Drosophila melanogaster: one gene and its partner. The protein of the gene in region 1 purifies or fractionates together with the protein of each later gene. This does not show direct contact. Each region holds a gene or a part of one and is shown in the gene's direction. Other genes may lie near its edges.

Region 1 (8,145 bases):
CGATCATCTAACGTCGGCCATTTCGCACATGGTCAGCGACCTGAACGCAGGTAAATCGTTGGATTCGAACCCATCTAACCAATCGCTTACGCTTCCAAAACTGCAACTGCAATTGCATCTGCATCTGCTGCTCCTGTTCCTTGCTCCTGTTTTCCCAGAGTTGCTCGTGAATGGTGATCTGCACTGCACCAGCACGTAGATTTCGTAGTAGCACCGCTTCTAGAGCCACCAAACCAAACACAATCCCAGCTCCAAATGGAATGTTTTCACTCTGTGCTTATCCGTGTTCTTTTTCGGTGTGCGTATTGTGTCTTTGGGTCTGGCCATTTTCCAGGACGGGGAAGGGCACAGCAGCTGGGTCCCCAGCCGGCGAGCTCCATACCGCAGGCTCGCTTCATCATGCCACTGGGTAAGTTGTCCCGGGCTGCATCGATCCGAACTGAAACGCTCCTCCAACTCCTGCTGGTTCCCACTTCTCTAAAGCGATCAATTTTCCGTTTTGTTTTCTTCGTTTTTTTTTCCAAACCATTTGATTTTAGATTATTACCCCAATAGACGGCATAAGAAAAAATGCTGCAAATATTGAGCTCCTCCCAGTTTGGTTAGTTGCCCTTTATAATTTTCGCTCATTTCTTCTGTATGTTAAATCGGGGAACCCTGCCCATCCAAAAAACCAAACCAAATCAAAACAAACAAAAAACAAAATCGCCCAAAAAATCCGATTAAGAATTCCGACACATCGAGGGTGGCGAGTCCGAGGACTCGAGTCAGTGCGAGTGCAACGATTGCGAGTGCGGGGAGTACGAGGAGGTGTTCCGCACCGACGAGGATCTCGAGTGCGAGGGAGCTGCAGCTCCATTTGGGAATGCATACTCCTTGTTCCCTACTAGCGGCGTTCACGAGGAGGACCACTTTGATTACACTTTCGGGCAGGGCGAGGAGCTGTCCCAGGTGAACCGCATCCTGGGCTATCGCAACCACCCCGAACTGTTCATCGACGATGAGCAGGCCGGTTTCCCGGCGCTGCACGAGATCGGTGAGACAATCGATGAACTGCAGCTGATCATGCATGCTTATATCATGAAGTATAGTCTGAATATATAAAGTGTTCGTCGTAGGTTATATATATACTCTGTGATCAGGTAAAATATGCAAAATCTACTGCTGCCTCTACAGTATAGACCATCGTAGCTCGCTCGACTCACGAACTTCCACTCCACCTCAGGTAGTTTCCAGTCGGGGCTCTATCTATAGTTACTTCTATAGTTCTACAACATAGCTCATCATCATTGCTGCACTCTCAACCGTCTCTCTCTCTCTCTATATATATATCAATCAATCTCAGTCAGCTCATCCTAGTTAGTCTCTAGATTTGATTCACGTTGGCTGCTTGACTCAAAGGATTCGAATAAATTGTCTGATTTTGATTTGAGCCATGATACCGATAATACATATGCTCACCGCAAACTTGATCAATTTCAGATTTCGACGAATCTCAATCGTATAACCAAGAGTGGAATGAAAAGGTAAAGGATTTCGCCATGAAATCCTGCTCACTGTTGATCTAGATGTTGTTCTTTGCCGTTGTCTATCCTTATTTATCTATTTCTCTCTGTACATGCACTCGATATCCGAAACATAATTCGAATATATATCTATATATCCTGTAGCTAGTGTAGTGATTGCTACTTTCCAATTGCCTTGCATGCCAAAGATCTTGAGTACGATTAAAGAGAAAACATGAGGCTTCGATGACTTATTTTAATACAGATTTCTATGTTTCCACAGGCAAATGCGAATAGCCAATGGCAGGAGCAGTTTGCACAATGGAGTCTTAATTCGCAGAAGAACTAAGAACTGGCTACCAGTGGAAACCGCAGGACTGGGAATCTCCAGAGGCAGCTGGATGGATGAAGACGAATTCTCGCTTAGCTTTCTACCTTACCTTAACTCATACGTTGACTTAGAGCAATTTATTTATTGATTATTTTACTGAGCCGTAGCCTACACTACCTTAATCATTATAATTTATACTTTGAAGATTGCTATCTACACAGAAAACACAGATATGTAAACGGATATATGCATCTATATGATTATTTTACTGAAGCAAAAGATATGAATATAGCTGATAAAAAAGACTTGCAGTTGCACTGCTCTTCGAAGTCGCAAAACCATTGAATCTCGTTGAAACTTTTACGATCGTACTGCTAAAGGGCAATAAGAGGTATGGTGTTTTAATTTTAGGTTTCCGCGATTCGTAATTGGCTTTTAGATTGTGTAAGCGCCCCCGTCAGCGGATATTTATTACCAAGAAACTTAACAAATGGAAAATCAAATCACGTAATGCGTAATACAAATACGATATAGACATTGACATATTATGTACTTAATAACTAGCAACTTGTTGAGAACCTAAAATCAAATTCTAAATGCTCTACATTATATATATATATACATTATACACTTTGAGATACGATAAAGCCAACAACTATTTGAATCACATGAAAGAGAAGCCCAATGTTGAACACTAAAACGAAAAACTAAACACGATTTATATATTATCCATTTATAATATGCATTCATACAAAAAAGTTATACCATATAATCGTAACGGCATAGAGCACGATATAGAGAAAATCCGACATTTATAGAACTTATACATAACTACTGAATAAAATAACAAGAAAGAGAAAATTAAATAAAAAGGCATTTTAAACAATCACAAAGAATGAACGTTTTTATTTTGAAATGAAGTTACTAGCTTGAAATTTCATTTTAAATTTCAAATTAATTTGAGGATGCCATTGGTTCCAAGAGGAATGGCGTTGCCATCTGATTTTCGAGTGTGTGTCTCCACTTAGTATATCAACCATATGCTATCTCTGGTTTGAGTCTGAGCTATGTTGCATACCGATAACACTACTGTCTTTATTTAGGCACATTCAAGGTGCCCATCTCCAGGCAAGTTGCGCTCTTGATGGCGCACTTTTCAAAGCCAGAGATTCATTCGTTTCGCGACTTTCGAACTGTGAAGTTGTCTCTCCGGCGCGTTATCTCCGTCTTGGCCAAAACTCGTGACTGATCGAGAGAAGAAGTCTGAAACCAGCTCTGAGCGAGAAGACAAGTGTGGAGACTGCAGTTCAGCATCCGCGTTTGCTGTGCTCAAGAAAGAAACGGCAATAGTTGTCTTCGGTTTCTTGGAGACGTCTTCGCCGCGCTCTCACCCTATTTGGAGAAGATTGAGATCTTGGAGCGCAGCTCTTGAGAAACACTACATATATTAAATCGCGCGCTTGCAGGGTGTGGTGCTAAAAGTCAATTTCTAAGATGTGGCGGCCGAGTATCTCGAATTGCGTGTGGAGCACCCTGCTCCTGGCCATTTTTGTGCAGCAAACGCTAGCACAGCGAACCCCGACCATATCCTACATCACGCAGGAGCAGATCAAGGATATCGGCGGCACAGTGGAGTTCGATTGCTCCGTCCAGTATGCCAAAGAGTACAACGTGCTGTTCCTGAAGACGGACAGCGATCCCGTCTTCCTCTCCACGGGCTCCACGCTGGTCATCAAGGATTCGCGCTTCTCGCTGCGGTACGATCCCAACTCGTCCACCTACAAGCTGCAGATCAAGGACATTCAGGAGACGGACGCGGGCACCTACACCTGCCAGGTGGTGATCTCCACCGTTCACAAAGTGAGCGCCGAAGTGAAGCTATCGGTGCGCCGTCCCCCCGTCATCTCGGACAACTCCACGCAGTCGGTGGTGGCCAGCGAGGGCAGCGAGGTCCAGATGGAGTGCTACGCCAGCGGCTATCCCACACCCACCATCACCTGGAGGCGCGAGAACAATGCCATTCTGCCAACTGGTGAGTTTCTTCATTTATTTGTGGGTGATTATCTTGGGTTACGCTGGGTACGCTGGCTAAGTCAGCTTTCGTTTGGTGGGGCGCGTTCTCCACTTCTCTCTCTCCCTCTTCGCTCTCTCTCTCTCTCCGTTCTCTTGGCTCCCGCTCTCTGGTCAGGTAGCTCTGTCCGTCCCGCTTTGGCATTAGGTTTTAGCTGGGATGGCTGGGAATGGGGGCTTTTAACTGGGCTCGATGCTCTGGGCTCCAGTGTGAGTGACCGTGACTCACTCAGGCGTCACCTTAGTTTTTCAGTTTTGTTTACTCGGCTTGGGCTGGCTGTTCTGGTAAACGGGGTCTAGCCCTGCCCTGCCACCCCCCACCTGTTTCGAGGGCTGAGTTTCGCAACAGCAGATTGATTTTTCATTTTAGGCCGTTTTCCAACTTCTGTCGTTCGAAAACATACACATGCTACCCTTTGTTTACCTTGTTGGGCCTTAGAAGATTGTTTCGCAAAGAGGTCTAACCAAATAACAAGGGAAAATCTAATTTCTAGCAAGTTTGTTAGCTCAAGAATACATTAAGTTGTGCGAAAAAGTTTGATTGTTATTTAACTTAGCAAGGAACTCAATTCTAGCTTCTCTCTTTCTAAATCCATTTTATTATTCATTACTTTTGAAGAAATCAGCACGTACATATGTATGATATTTGGCTTTTGTATAAATACATGTTCTTTTGATTATTAGAATAATGTATCATCGATATTTGCGCAAAATGAAATTTCTTATCCATACACTTGACGAGTTTGGAAAAACCCAAATGGGGGGGTTATATATGTACATGCCAGAAATAATAAATTTATTTTTCTTCACCTTCTTTATGTTCCTCCCATTCCAAGAAAACGGTCCATATTTCTCGGGAAACTCCGTTTCGGACAAGTGCAAATGCTATCTACAAATTGTTTGCGTTTACTTGTCCATCCAGAAATTCTCGAAAGGAAGAGAAAAGCTAATAAAACACTAAAGTAATTTGGTGCCCAGGTAGATGGAACAATAGAATCTTCTCGCTAGGTTAATCCCATACAGGTGCTGCTGTTCCATAGCGATCTCGATGCGATCTTTACCTGAACTCCGACCCTCGGGCAAAACATAATGGCTGTCCTTAACAAGATTGCAGCGTCATTTGGAAAGCAATTAGTGTAACTAATCCGAGAGTTACTCATTACCCAGAACCGACTCGCGGACACACCCTACCTGGGCTTCGTTACATCCGATAGCCAGCTTAATTCCCGGGGCTTTGTATCTATCAGCTATCAGCTTCGGCTTGTGCAATCTTTAATTGCCACGGCATTGAGGGCTCCTTCTGTGGGTTCAAAACAAAAAAATGATGAAATAAAAACCAGGCGTGCCCCGCGTTACAAGCTATAAAACCCAACCGCAACCAGTTGGATACGCTCCACGGCTGGCCAGGAATGGCTTAACTTTATTCCGCCATAAATCAAAGGGCTCCGGGTTTGAGGTCCAGTATTTGCCAGGAGTTTCACACTTTTCCACGCTCTAATTTAAAGCGCTTAGGCAAACAGCACAGTTTCACGTCCAGCAGCGCTTTGAAATGCGCCAACGAGCCGAGTCAAATGTTTTCCAAGGGCTATCGTCGTTGGGGGAGTTGCAGTTCCGAGGCCATCGAGGACATAGAGGTGTACACAGAGGTGGGCGTGACGAGGAGCTCCGACTGCACAGCCTTTGTGCCGCTTTTCACGTTTCGCATTTCCATTCCCATTCGAGTTTCTGAGGCATTCGACAACTTCAGCACGCGCAATTGCTTCCGCAACTTGAAAACGTTCCACGGACCGTTTGATGGTCTCCGGGTCTCCTCATCTGCGACTCTGCGACTCTGCGACTCCGGGCAAACAACCCGTGCAAAAACGTTGCGGCAGAGGGCTGTTTCTTACACATCAGACACGGTCTGGGCTTTTGGGTGGTATAAAAAAATGAAAAATGAAAAAGCTGAAAAATGAAACTCAGAGGTGGAACGAGTAAACAGCAAACATACGCAAACAAAGGGATCCTGAGAGCATGGCAAATGGGCTGCGCCCCCTGCAAAAGAATCTCCCAGGCCCACAACCCTGGGTAACACCACACCTCCTCCCCTTCCCACCATTCGTATTGCTCGGCTACATAATTCTTATTTTGATAGCCGGCAAAATACAATCGAAGTATACAAAATATATATAAATTACAAGCTAAAAAGGTAACCCAAACAAAGGTCGGCGGTTCCCGGGGCGAGTACAATGTAAGAGATGCAAACAAACAAGCCGCGAGCGGTTCGAGCCCTTCTATGCCCATGCCATGCCCATGCCCCTCCATCTAAACAACCCCTGATCCCATCAGCCGGTTGGAAACGCATTTCGTCCCGCCCAGGCTGTGGTGCCCATTGAGGAACCCCTAATCAAGCGTTTCCGCTCGCCAGTCCACCGGTTCTTTGGTATTCGGGGTGTTGAGGGACCCGGGTCCATGCCAATTTGTGCGTTGCCATGCAAATCGATTGGTTATTTTTCACTTTTTTTTTTAAGGTATAACCCATGTATGTTACATTGAATGGGTAAACCAAGTTGCTAGATGGTAGATGGCCATTGAGTAAACACAGACATATGCAGTGTTTGCACCTGGCACCTGAAAACCCGGCGCACCGTGGGGCAATCTGCCGTATAAGCACATGTGTATCTGCTGCTCCATGCAAAATCGGCTGCCATAATAAACCTCACCTTGGCCCATCGAATGAAAACAAGAGATGGCTCATAGCTGATAGCTGATAGCTGCAAAGAAAGCAACGCGAAATTGAATTCACTTTTTGCTGAATTTTCAAACGCTGGCTGGCAGCTGTCGCCATTCGTATTGGGGCATTGTTGTTCCGAACGGAAGCGGAGAATCTTTCAGATACTTATCGCTCGTCGAGGGATCGAGGATCATGCTAAATTAACTTTAATTGTTCAATTATGCGCGAGAATCTCGCGCACAGATCACTTCGGGGTGTCTGAACCTGAAACGCGGTCTACGGCGGAGTACTATGTATTTGTCCAGAAAACTCTCCCTCGGTGAAAATTCTTGATTAACTTTCATGCAAATTGCGTTTGCTGGCAAATTGCGAATTAGACTCAAGTGAGCATGAGATCAAGTACTCCAATTTTGCCATCAAACGCAAGGGTGCCAGTCTTAATGGTAATAATATTTATGCTTAAACATTTCGATACGCAATTGATGCTAAACTCGAGATCTCAACAGGCCGTGCACGAGATTAGTTGGCCCCCCCTTTAAATTTGATGGATAATGGAAATCATGCATATTCGCTTGCTGTGCATAATGAAATTCCTCAGATGCCACAGGCGGCAGCTGTGTGTTTGAGTTTCAAAATATTTGCAAGCAATTAGGTTTGGCACACTCACTCGCAATTAGGAAGCGGAGTGGTGGCAATTCGGAGGAGTGGTCCGAATCCTTTGATGGTCGCTCTGTTTTTATTTGTCCTGCTGCCGTTTCCTCTTCCTGTTTGCAAACGCGCTGCATTGTTTATGGCCAACTCAAAGTCGAAGGCAAAACGAGAACGGGAACATGGAACACGATAAACGGCGATGACGTAGAAGAAGCGTTGTGGCAAGAAAACCTGTTTGTGAATGTTGGTTGCTGGGGCAACGACCACTTGGTCAACATGGCCATTTCATGGGGCCAACTGGCGGCTTTCAGTCAGCCGCAAAATGCGGAGAATCGCCAGAACAGCCAACCAGTCAGCCAGTCAGCCCTTTGTGGCACTCACTCAGCTCGAAGTAATAACTTGTTAGTTAATAGCCGAAGTGCACGACCAAATCGTTCCATTTTCCATGTGTCCATGAGGCCATTCCTCATGTTCCTAGCCACTTTTCGTGGACTTTTTCAACGACAATATATATAGCAGTTTTTGCTTGCAAATGCAATATGTATCATTATCCATGTTATATTATTATTTGTTCGTACGTACATGAAAACTATTTGTATATAAATGTACTGCTATCTATGAAAACATCGTAGATACCCGTATTTCTAAATGAATAAATAATCATCAAAGATCCGTTTTGCCCTGCGAGAATCCCTTTCACTTTGCATACATTCTTGGTGTGGCAATTCCCTTATTTGTTTAGCACTCTTGGCTGCATGTTTCACCTTCAGACCGGCTTTTTAATCCTTATCACACTCACATTCTCACACAAAAGGACTCGCGGCTTTTCCGACCCAACTCACACGCCCAGCCATCTGAATTGTTTGCTTTGGGAC
Region 2 (8,277 bases), on another chromosome or scaffold:
AATAAATATATTTATAATCTTAATAATCCAATTGGGTATACCCCTTTTGCTTTACAAAGAACAGGTACTCCAAATGTTCGCTTTTTTCGTTGTTGTTTTTTGGTTTGTTTTGAAAGGTTTTATGCCTTTAAGCCCATGTTTTTGTTGTTTATCCTTTGGGCCTAAATCATATTAATGAATTTTCTTTTGGTCATGATTTGGACCTCTATCAAGGTTGGAAAGGGCAGCGAATGGAAGTTTGGGAAACATTAATTACGCAAAATTAAATTTGATATCCTCGCATTAGCCGTGAATCAAGCAATGTACAAAACTGAAACGCTTCACCGGGTTTTATTTACTTTCGGAGGTTACTTTCTCCGAGTAAATGGCAAGTGAGGGTGCTTTCGTAGGGTCACCACTTGAGCGGCTTAGTTAAATTTATGTTTAAAAAAATAAAGGCAAAGGAAGAACAAGAAATAATAATTGCCTGCAATGCGAAATCCGCTTTTGGTCATTAGCGGAGTAGCCCGTTTTTTTTTTTTTTTTGGCGGCCAAAAGGGTGAAGTGTGGCAAAAGGGGTGAATGCGTGAGTGCGGGTTCGAAGGTTAGAGGTCAGCTGCCCCCTGAATTTATTTGCCACGCGCATTGCGGACCTCATTAGCAATAGTTTTGTTTGGCTTTGTCTGGTTTTCGGTTCAGTTCAGTTCAGTTCGGGCCGAAATGTTTATTTTAATCCCCCCCCTTGGCCAAATCCACACATAAATCATGGCCCAAACTGCACTGACAGTTGCGGCGCCATCGATGATGATGATGGCATTTTGTGGGCAGAGGCAGGGCTTTATCAGCGCTATAATAATTCCCGACTTGACTCCGTTCTGCGGCCCAACTAATTAGCCCACAAAGGGGGTTTCTGATGGGGCCAGTGGTCAGTGTCCACGGATAACGACAACCAATTTGAATGGAACCAACGCGAGTCAAGTCATTTCATATTCGGATTGTCTAAAAAGTTTGACAGCAGTTAGGTCATTTCTCGTTTCATTGGAAGTTAGTACATTTTAACTGATATGTTGTTCGCTATTCTGTTCACATTTTCATATTTTCAGAAGAGCGTTGTTATTTTAATTACTCTTCTATGACGTAGTCAACCTTGCGTAAGGTACCCTTATTGTATTATTTACCATGCCCCCCCACTTTATCATCCTTATTTCCTCTAGCAATTTATTCAGTTGCTATGCCTACTTTTTCAATTTAGCATGAGTCTCCTGCCTCATTTTTGCCGTATATCAGGTGTCCTTGGTAATACTAACCCATTTATTTATCGAGGCAAAAAAAAGTAGTAAAACATAAAGTACAGGAAGTTATTTTCTCCGTCTCACCCAGCTTACCCTCCCGCACCGCCTGTTTTCCTTCTTCGGCTTTGACTGTCATTCAGTGGGCGGAATGCAGGGTGGCTGGGGGGTTGGGGGTGGTGAAAGGTGGAGCTTGGCTGGTTAAACGAGGAGGAGGCCAATCAAGCTGCATGAGTGCATCCTACTGGAGCTCAGCTGCATCTTCCTCACACACACATACGCACAGAGCGGCAGGAACACGTGTGTGGCATCATCATTAACGGTACCGAAAGGATAGCTGTTTGAAAGGAGAGAAATGGGGGTCTCAGACTTTCTCCATTCACCTTGCCCCTTTCACCTGCCTGTTGTCTTTGCTGATTGCCTGCTAAAGGCAGATAGCAAGAAAGGAAAGGAGACTTAGTTAAATCCGAATTAAGTCAGATAACCGATCGTCAGAAGATTCCGGAGTATATCTGCTAACTGCCGGCAAAACAGGATGACATCAACGTGGAATGTTAAGTTTCATATATATTTCAGTATTTATTTATAATGCAGTTATTGTTACTAAGAATAGATTGTCTGCATACGTCTATTCTATTCTATTTCAAGCAGTAGGCGTGTATTTATCACGGCAGTTAAAATGGGGAATTCGATTTGAATTTGATTTTGATATCCAAAACGGATTTTCCAGTGCGGTAATTGCATATTTCGTGTTAAATCGGCTTATCCCCTTTTCGAAATGCTAATTTATTTGTCAATGTGCATGCATGTGTGTGTTTGTGTGTTGCCAAACTCCCATTTGTGAGTGTGTTGAGCCGAGCATGAATAATTCAAATCAAAATTAATTCGTTATTAGTTCGCAGCAAACACACACAAGCAACAGGCTTGAAGGGAAAGTGATGCAGGAGCAAAAAGCCTGCGCCACCAATAAGTATGGCCGGGCATAAAGCCACGGGCATAAAGCCAACCTCATTAGCAACTATGCATATATCTATGTTTGTATGTATGTACTTGGGAGTGGGCACAAACCTGGCTTCAATAGCGCCTTGGAAAATTTACATAAAACACTAAAAATATCAACAACAACGTCCGCTGTCAAAGTAAAGAAGCGAAAAAACGCTAAAGAAAAACTAGGAAAAATGAAATTCAAATAAACCTTAAAATTGACTTAGCAACGACGACAGCGGCGGCAGCGACAACAACAAAAACAACATCATTGGTGACAGAAGCAGCGTCAGCAGCAGCAAAAAAACAATACATATACACGTACATATACATATATATCTAGAAAAACCGCTCCATGACATCAACAAACAATCAGCGACTAAGAAAAATGAAAATGAAATGTAATGCATGAAAGCCTGGCTTAAATGAAAAGCGCAGGGTTAGCATTTGTTACTAAAATTAGTAGTTTTTTGGCGCAAAATCAAATGGGTTTAATCGCGGTGGCTCTTAAATCCTCCTTACCTGCTATTTATACTCTTCTGTCGTCTGGGGAGTTTTGGAGCCCACTGCGAATGCAACACATCGAACTCAAACAGGTTGGCAGACCAAAAATCAAAGCGAGGGTGGATTCAGAAGTTCTGTGGCTTTTTTAGCTTGTTTCTTATTGCTAAGTGGACTATAATACAGTATAAATAGTTACTATTTAGGAAGATTTTTCAGTAATTTTAAAATTCTATAATTGTATATATTATTATTCATTAGCTGACATAAAACTGACATATGAGTAGGCATATCAATCTTGTTAGCATTTTTGTGATTTAAGTTCACTAGCAAATGCATAGGCATATTTGCATTTAATGCATTTCGACCACTTTAAATTGTCGTATTAAACGCTAGTTACCTTAAAGTTGGGCCTGATTAAAGGTTCAATTACAACAGTTTTGTAATATCAATTTGTTTCTACTGCAGCTCAGCCCCAACACCCCAATCTTCGTTTTCTTTCGAACATGTTGGAGTTGCCGGCTACCATCGAACGCGTTTGAAGCCGGCTGCCATTGTGGGGCTGCTTCTCTGCCCTCCCTCTGTCGCGACGCTGCTGCCATTGGCGCTCGGCGTCGCTGCTCGGCTACAGTTTTCAGTTTGTTTATAAACTTTGTGCTGTGCGGATGTGTCGTCGCGCGCTTGTCGTCTGGGTAAATCAATCGCTCTGGAGAATCTCGCTACTAGCAACGTACTTTGAAACCACTAGCCAGCCGCTTGGCGGTCCGTTCTATCCCGTCCATCGTCCCGCCGTCGCTGCCGCTCCGACCAACCCAACGCCCACATCTGCGCCCACGCGGTCGAGGAAAAGCTGAGGAAAAGCGCGCGCGCGACAAGTGAAGCTCACAGGTTAGCTGTGCTCGTATGGGTGAAACAGTGAGGAATTGTGTTTACTTGTGTGATTTCTTTTGTTTGCTGGCCAATTGTGGGGCTTAATTGAATGCTTGTCTCATATGGGCCAACAGAACCCACAGGCTGCCAACATCAACAACAACAACAACAACTGCACAAGCCTACTCGAGTGTTTCGCAACGCCATAAAAAACACATATATATTGGAAATATAAAAAGAAGAAGAGGTGAAATACCAAAGCAGTACATATACAGGCACATATCGACGGGACGAGAAGAGAAGCTAAGCCAGAAATACTATATGTACATATAAGCAAATGGCATATAGCATATAGCTATAGCATACGAAAACCAGTTTCGAACCGCCGTAGCAGAATCGAAAGCAGCGCAGTCGCAGCGTTTTGACCGAGGTGAGTTGTTCAGTGGTGTGCGTGTGTATCTGTGTGTGTTTTACCGCCCACATGTCGCGGCTTTCGCTGCCGAAGTCGACGTCAACGCCAGCGGAGTAGCAAACTGGCTTTTGTCGTATGTGAAAAGTAACTTTAATTTGATCGGAGAATCTGTCCCTAAGCATTGCCCCTCTCCCCTCCCCAAAAAAACCCCTCTCTCCACTCTTTGCAAAAAATAAAAAATAAAAAACCACCAACAACTTGTTGAGGCATTCTTTATTTGACCAAGCAGAACCGGAGACAACTCTAATTTGATTCGAGAACCCAGAAAATGTAAATCATTTTGGAGCAACAACAAAACACCAGTAAACTAAACTAATTTGCACAGTTTTGCTTTTGCCAAACTTTGTCTCTCAATTTGGGCAAAAATAGATCAAAATTGCCAACTTTCAGATACACGAACTTTTTACACGCTTGCCGTTTTTACTACACTTTTCAGTCATCATATTCAATCGGTTAATTAATCATATAAAAACTTTAGGTTTGAATATCGTTCAAGTTCGGAAAATATTAAATATGTATAATATTAAAATAAGTATTAAAAATTTGTAATACAAGAATTTCTGGATTTATTTTGAATTAAATCTCGAACTTAATTGAATTAAGATTATATTTGCAAACTCAATAACCATTTTTTGTCAAAAAATGATACTACTGTATGTAAGGGCAATAAAAAAACTAATTTAGACAAGAGAAGGCAACAACAACCTATAGCAAAGGCAAAACAACAACAAAAGAACCTACAACAAAACACGAAAAGCTCCGAAAAGTTTTTAATTGTCAACTTTAAGCCGAAGCCAACTTTTCAGGAATATGGAAGAGTTGTTTTTTCCTTTTTTTTGGGTGAACTTCTTCCTCCTTCGCAGTCTCTTATTTAGCCCTTTTTATGGCGAGGTACTAACTAATTGAAATTTACTTAACTCGTTCTTATCCCCACTGTCTACTTAGTTTTCCCCATCGTGGGGCTAGTATTGGGAGCATGAATTGTTTGCTCTTCAATGTATTGTAGAACAATTTGGCTTTGCTTGCCTGCATTATTTATTGGCCTAATCAATACCTGATTAACGAGGGAAATTCAATGAAGTAATGTTGAATCGAATTAACTGGGCCGAGAGTTCCACTATCTTATATATTTACTACATACGCCTAACCAATATAGCCCCCAGAATAATTACATTGTAATAAATACATTGTACCTTACGGCATTTAATATTGAAGTCAATCACTGTGCACAATTTTTTTAAGGACATCAGATACTTTGACTACCTCCGTTGCGGTCTTCATCTTTTTTGCGCACTCACTTAATTATCTTTCAATCCCTGTATCCCGATCTACCCCAATGTTGCCCCGCTGCTTGCGCCTTTTTAATTTGTTTGGCCTGCTTTTGCCGAGACTTTATGTACTCGTATTTCACAGTTTGCCTCAATTACGGACTCCTGTGCCCCTGTCTTCGTCCTCCTTGTATGGTGTGTCCATGGTGTCCATGGACCTGCATCCATGCGTCTACTTTTTATGGGGAACTTTTGTTTTCGTGCCATTTTTCATATACTTTCGCTAGCTACGCACAAATTAAAAGTTTATGCAGCCAGAATGATGATGGGAGTTGGGTAGGTTAATATGCAGGCTGTTTGGGATGCAGTGCATCTGCCACTGGAGCCGAGGACTAAAACTGCCAACTAGCCCAGCAAGCCAGACTTAATGCGCAACAATATTTTTTCTATCGCACAGCAGCAGGCCAAAACTTTATCCAGCCACCGAATATTTCCCCCCTGAAGCCTTCGTCCTTTAGCACACGCCCTCTCGTCCTTATATCGCCAACACTTTCACCGGGCAAATATTTGGAATACATTTGCTGCAGTTGCCAAGGGACAGACTTTTGGCATAATTTGTATGCAAAAATCTCAAATAATATACATGGTACGACACCCACTCGAACGTGTGTGTGTGTGGATGGGTGTATCTACGCATCCGAGGGATGTCCCTGCTGGTGACAGTTTATAATTTCAATCAGTGTCACACTTGTGACAACTTGTTATGTTTTATTGCCCTGGCCAGGAAGGAAGTCCATATCCTTGAACCCTTTTCAGCAAATTCAATGGATATTTATTTCGGTGGCAAATGTTCATGATCTGTTTTTGCCCCATTTCCGCCCATTCCATTCGCAAAGCCAATGAAAGAAAAACAAAGAATATTTTCTTTAATTACTTCTCATGCCATTCTCATGTCCAGCCAAGGATATATTTGCAAAAATGGCAATCAAATACATTTACATTTATGGAGCGATAACTTTGGACTTTCGACTTGACAGCATGGGAGAAAGGGTTATACTTTCTGTGGTTGAAACTGAGCTACAAAAATAGTTACCTTTGTTTTGAGATATTTACTTAGCTTGTGGCTTGGCCAAGGGATGTAGGTAATTGCAGTGCTCTCTCTGCTTCAAACTGGGCAATTGCGGATAGAATTCTGGTCAGGTGGTTGCAATGATTGCCAATGAGTCGAAACCAGAAATATCTGAGTGTTTTAATTAAATTGCCAAAAATGTTCTTCTTTTTGGACAAAGAATATTGCAAGCCAAAGGAAATTGAATGAAAATATGCAGCTAGAAAAGTCAAACTAAAATCAATTCAACAAATGACTAAACATTCTGCCGCGAAACCAATGCAATTATTGCAGTAAATAAAATCTTAAATGATTATACAAAGTATATATTCTCAGATACTTGATGAAAGGTTAATAATCCATATCTTATAAATCTTCCATTACCAAGCAATTGATATAATTTAGAAGTAACTTACATCAGTCACAGATAAGTGGAAATCGCTTGTTTAATTTTCCATGTTTCCTGTCAATCAAAGTCAGTCAAGAATTAAGGATAAGCGTACTGCAACTTGATCCCAGCCTGCAATCTGCAACTAGAAGTTTGTAGAGGGGGGCAGTTACGCAGCTGCTATTGTTGTGTAGCTTGGAAGACAATTTCAACTAAATTGCAAGTGCTTCAAATGCGAAGGAATGAGTGGGGCTAAAACCAGCTAGCTAGCACAAAATTCAGATACAACCAGCGGGGGAAACCCGCAGAACTGATTCTGATTTCATGGGGAAAATATTTGCAGCAAAAATATACAATAACCAATGTCCCGACAGTGGAGATGAGTCAGGAAAGAAGGTGGAATAAATATTACATAAAGTGATTTAAGCCTGCCGGGGACATTCAATTCAATCGACTGGCAGAACCTTAAAGAATCTGGGGCTTGGCAAACATTTGCATAAAATCACAATTAAAGCCTTTGCCGGCTGCCTTTAATTGTTTTGTATCTCTCAGATACATTGTGTAAGCCATGCCGCATACATTATCTTTATCTCTCACCCGACTGGCTGGCTGCATTTATCCACCGCCCCCCACCCCGCACTTACCACTCCCCTGCTGTGTCTGCGCAAAAAAAAAAGTGTAAACAAAATAAAAAACGCGGAGGCGTCGATGCGAATTTATGACTCACGGCTTGATTTTTCTCTCCATTTTCCTCGCCGTTTCTGTGGCTGTTGCTGATGTATCTGTATCTTGCAACTGCAACTGCGGCAACGTAATTGTCGCTTACGTGTTAAAGAGGTGTGCTACTAAAGTTCCGGTGGGTAGAGAATTCTTCTCCGTTTCGCATCTCTTTTTTTCCATCTTTAGCTTTGGCACGCCGAAATGTCTCTCTATGCGTTTTCCGTCTGAGCCACATTTGCCTTTGAGGCATGCCACAAGTCTGGCCCCCTCCCCGCGCCACCACCACCCTTTTCAGCCACGGTCAGGTGTGTGCATGATTCGGTGTATGTGTGGGTGAAACGTGCCACAAGCAGCCAGCTTCGTGAAAATTTTCTTTTCTCATTTCTGCGCGCTCTGCTTTCTCCATTATCTATTTACTCCGGAAATTCTACAGGGTAGCAAAAGTTGTTGGTTCTATTCAAATTTAAAATGGGAGTTCAGATGAAATACAGTGTTATCATATTTATTCAAAGTGGAAAAAAAATTTTCTAAATATAATCTTATTAAAAAATTCTTCTTTTATCTAAAATTCGTGTTATATCAGGACATTTTCAACTAACCCACATTTTATGGTTTTTAATAGGTATCTTTTTTTTACCTGCTTTTACATCCTTAATTCAAAATTATATTGGTTGTTTCTCTCATTTTGGCTGCCTGTC

What was found.
Region 2: the proteins of Lac (region 1) and CG6959 purify together in Drosophila melanogaster (affinity purification with western blotting; one large-scale study listed by BioGRID). This does not show direct contact.

What each region holds. Positions count from the first base shown.
Region 1 is NT_033778.4:12,450,187-12,458,331, forward strand, and holds the start of Lac (lachesin), read left to right. Parts: upstream 1-3,003; 5' UTR 3,004-3,330; coding exon 3,331-3,868; intron 3,869-8,145. Other genes in the region: Dyb (dystrobrevin), read left to right, coding at 1-50, 335-409, 728-1,104. UniProt on the Drosophila melanogaster protein: Required for normal tracheal development and maintenance of the trans-epithelial diffusion barrier. Functions as a homophilic cell-adhesion molecule. May play a role in early neuronal differentiation and axon outgrowth.
Region 2 is NT_033777.3:11,864,571-11,872,847, reverse strand, and holds the start of CG6959 (uncharacterized protein), read left to right. Parts: upstream 1-3,387; 5' UTR 3,388-4,053; intron 4,054-8,277.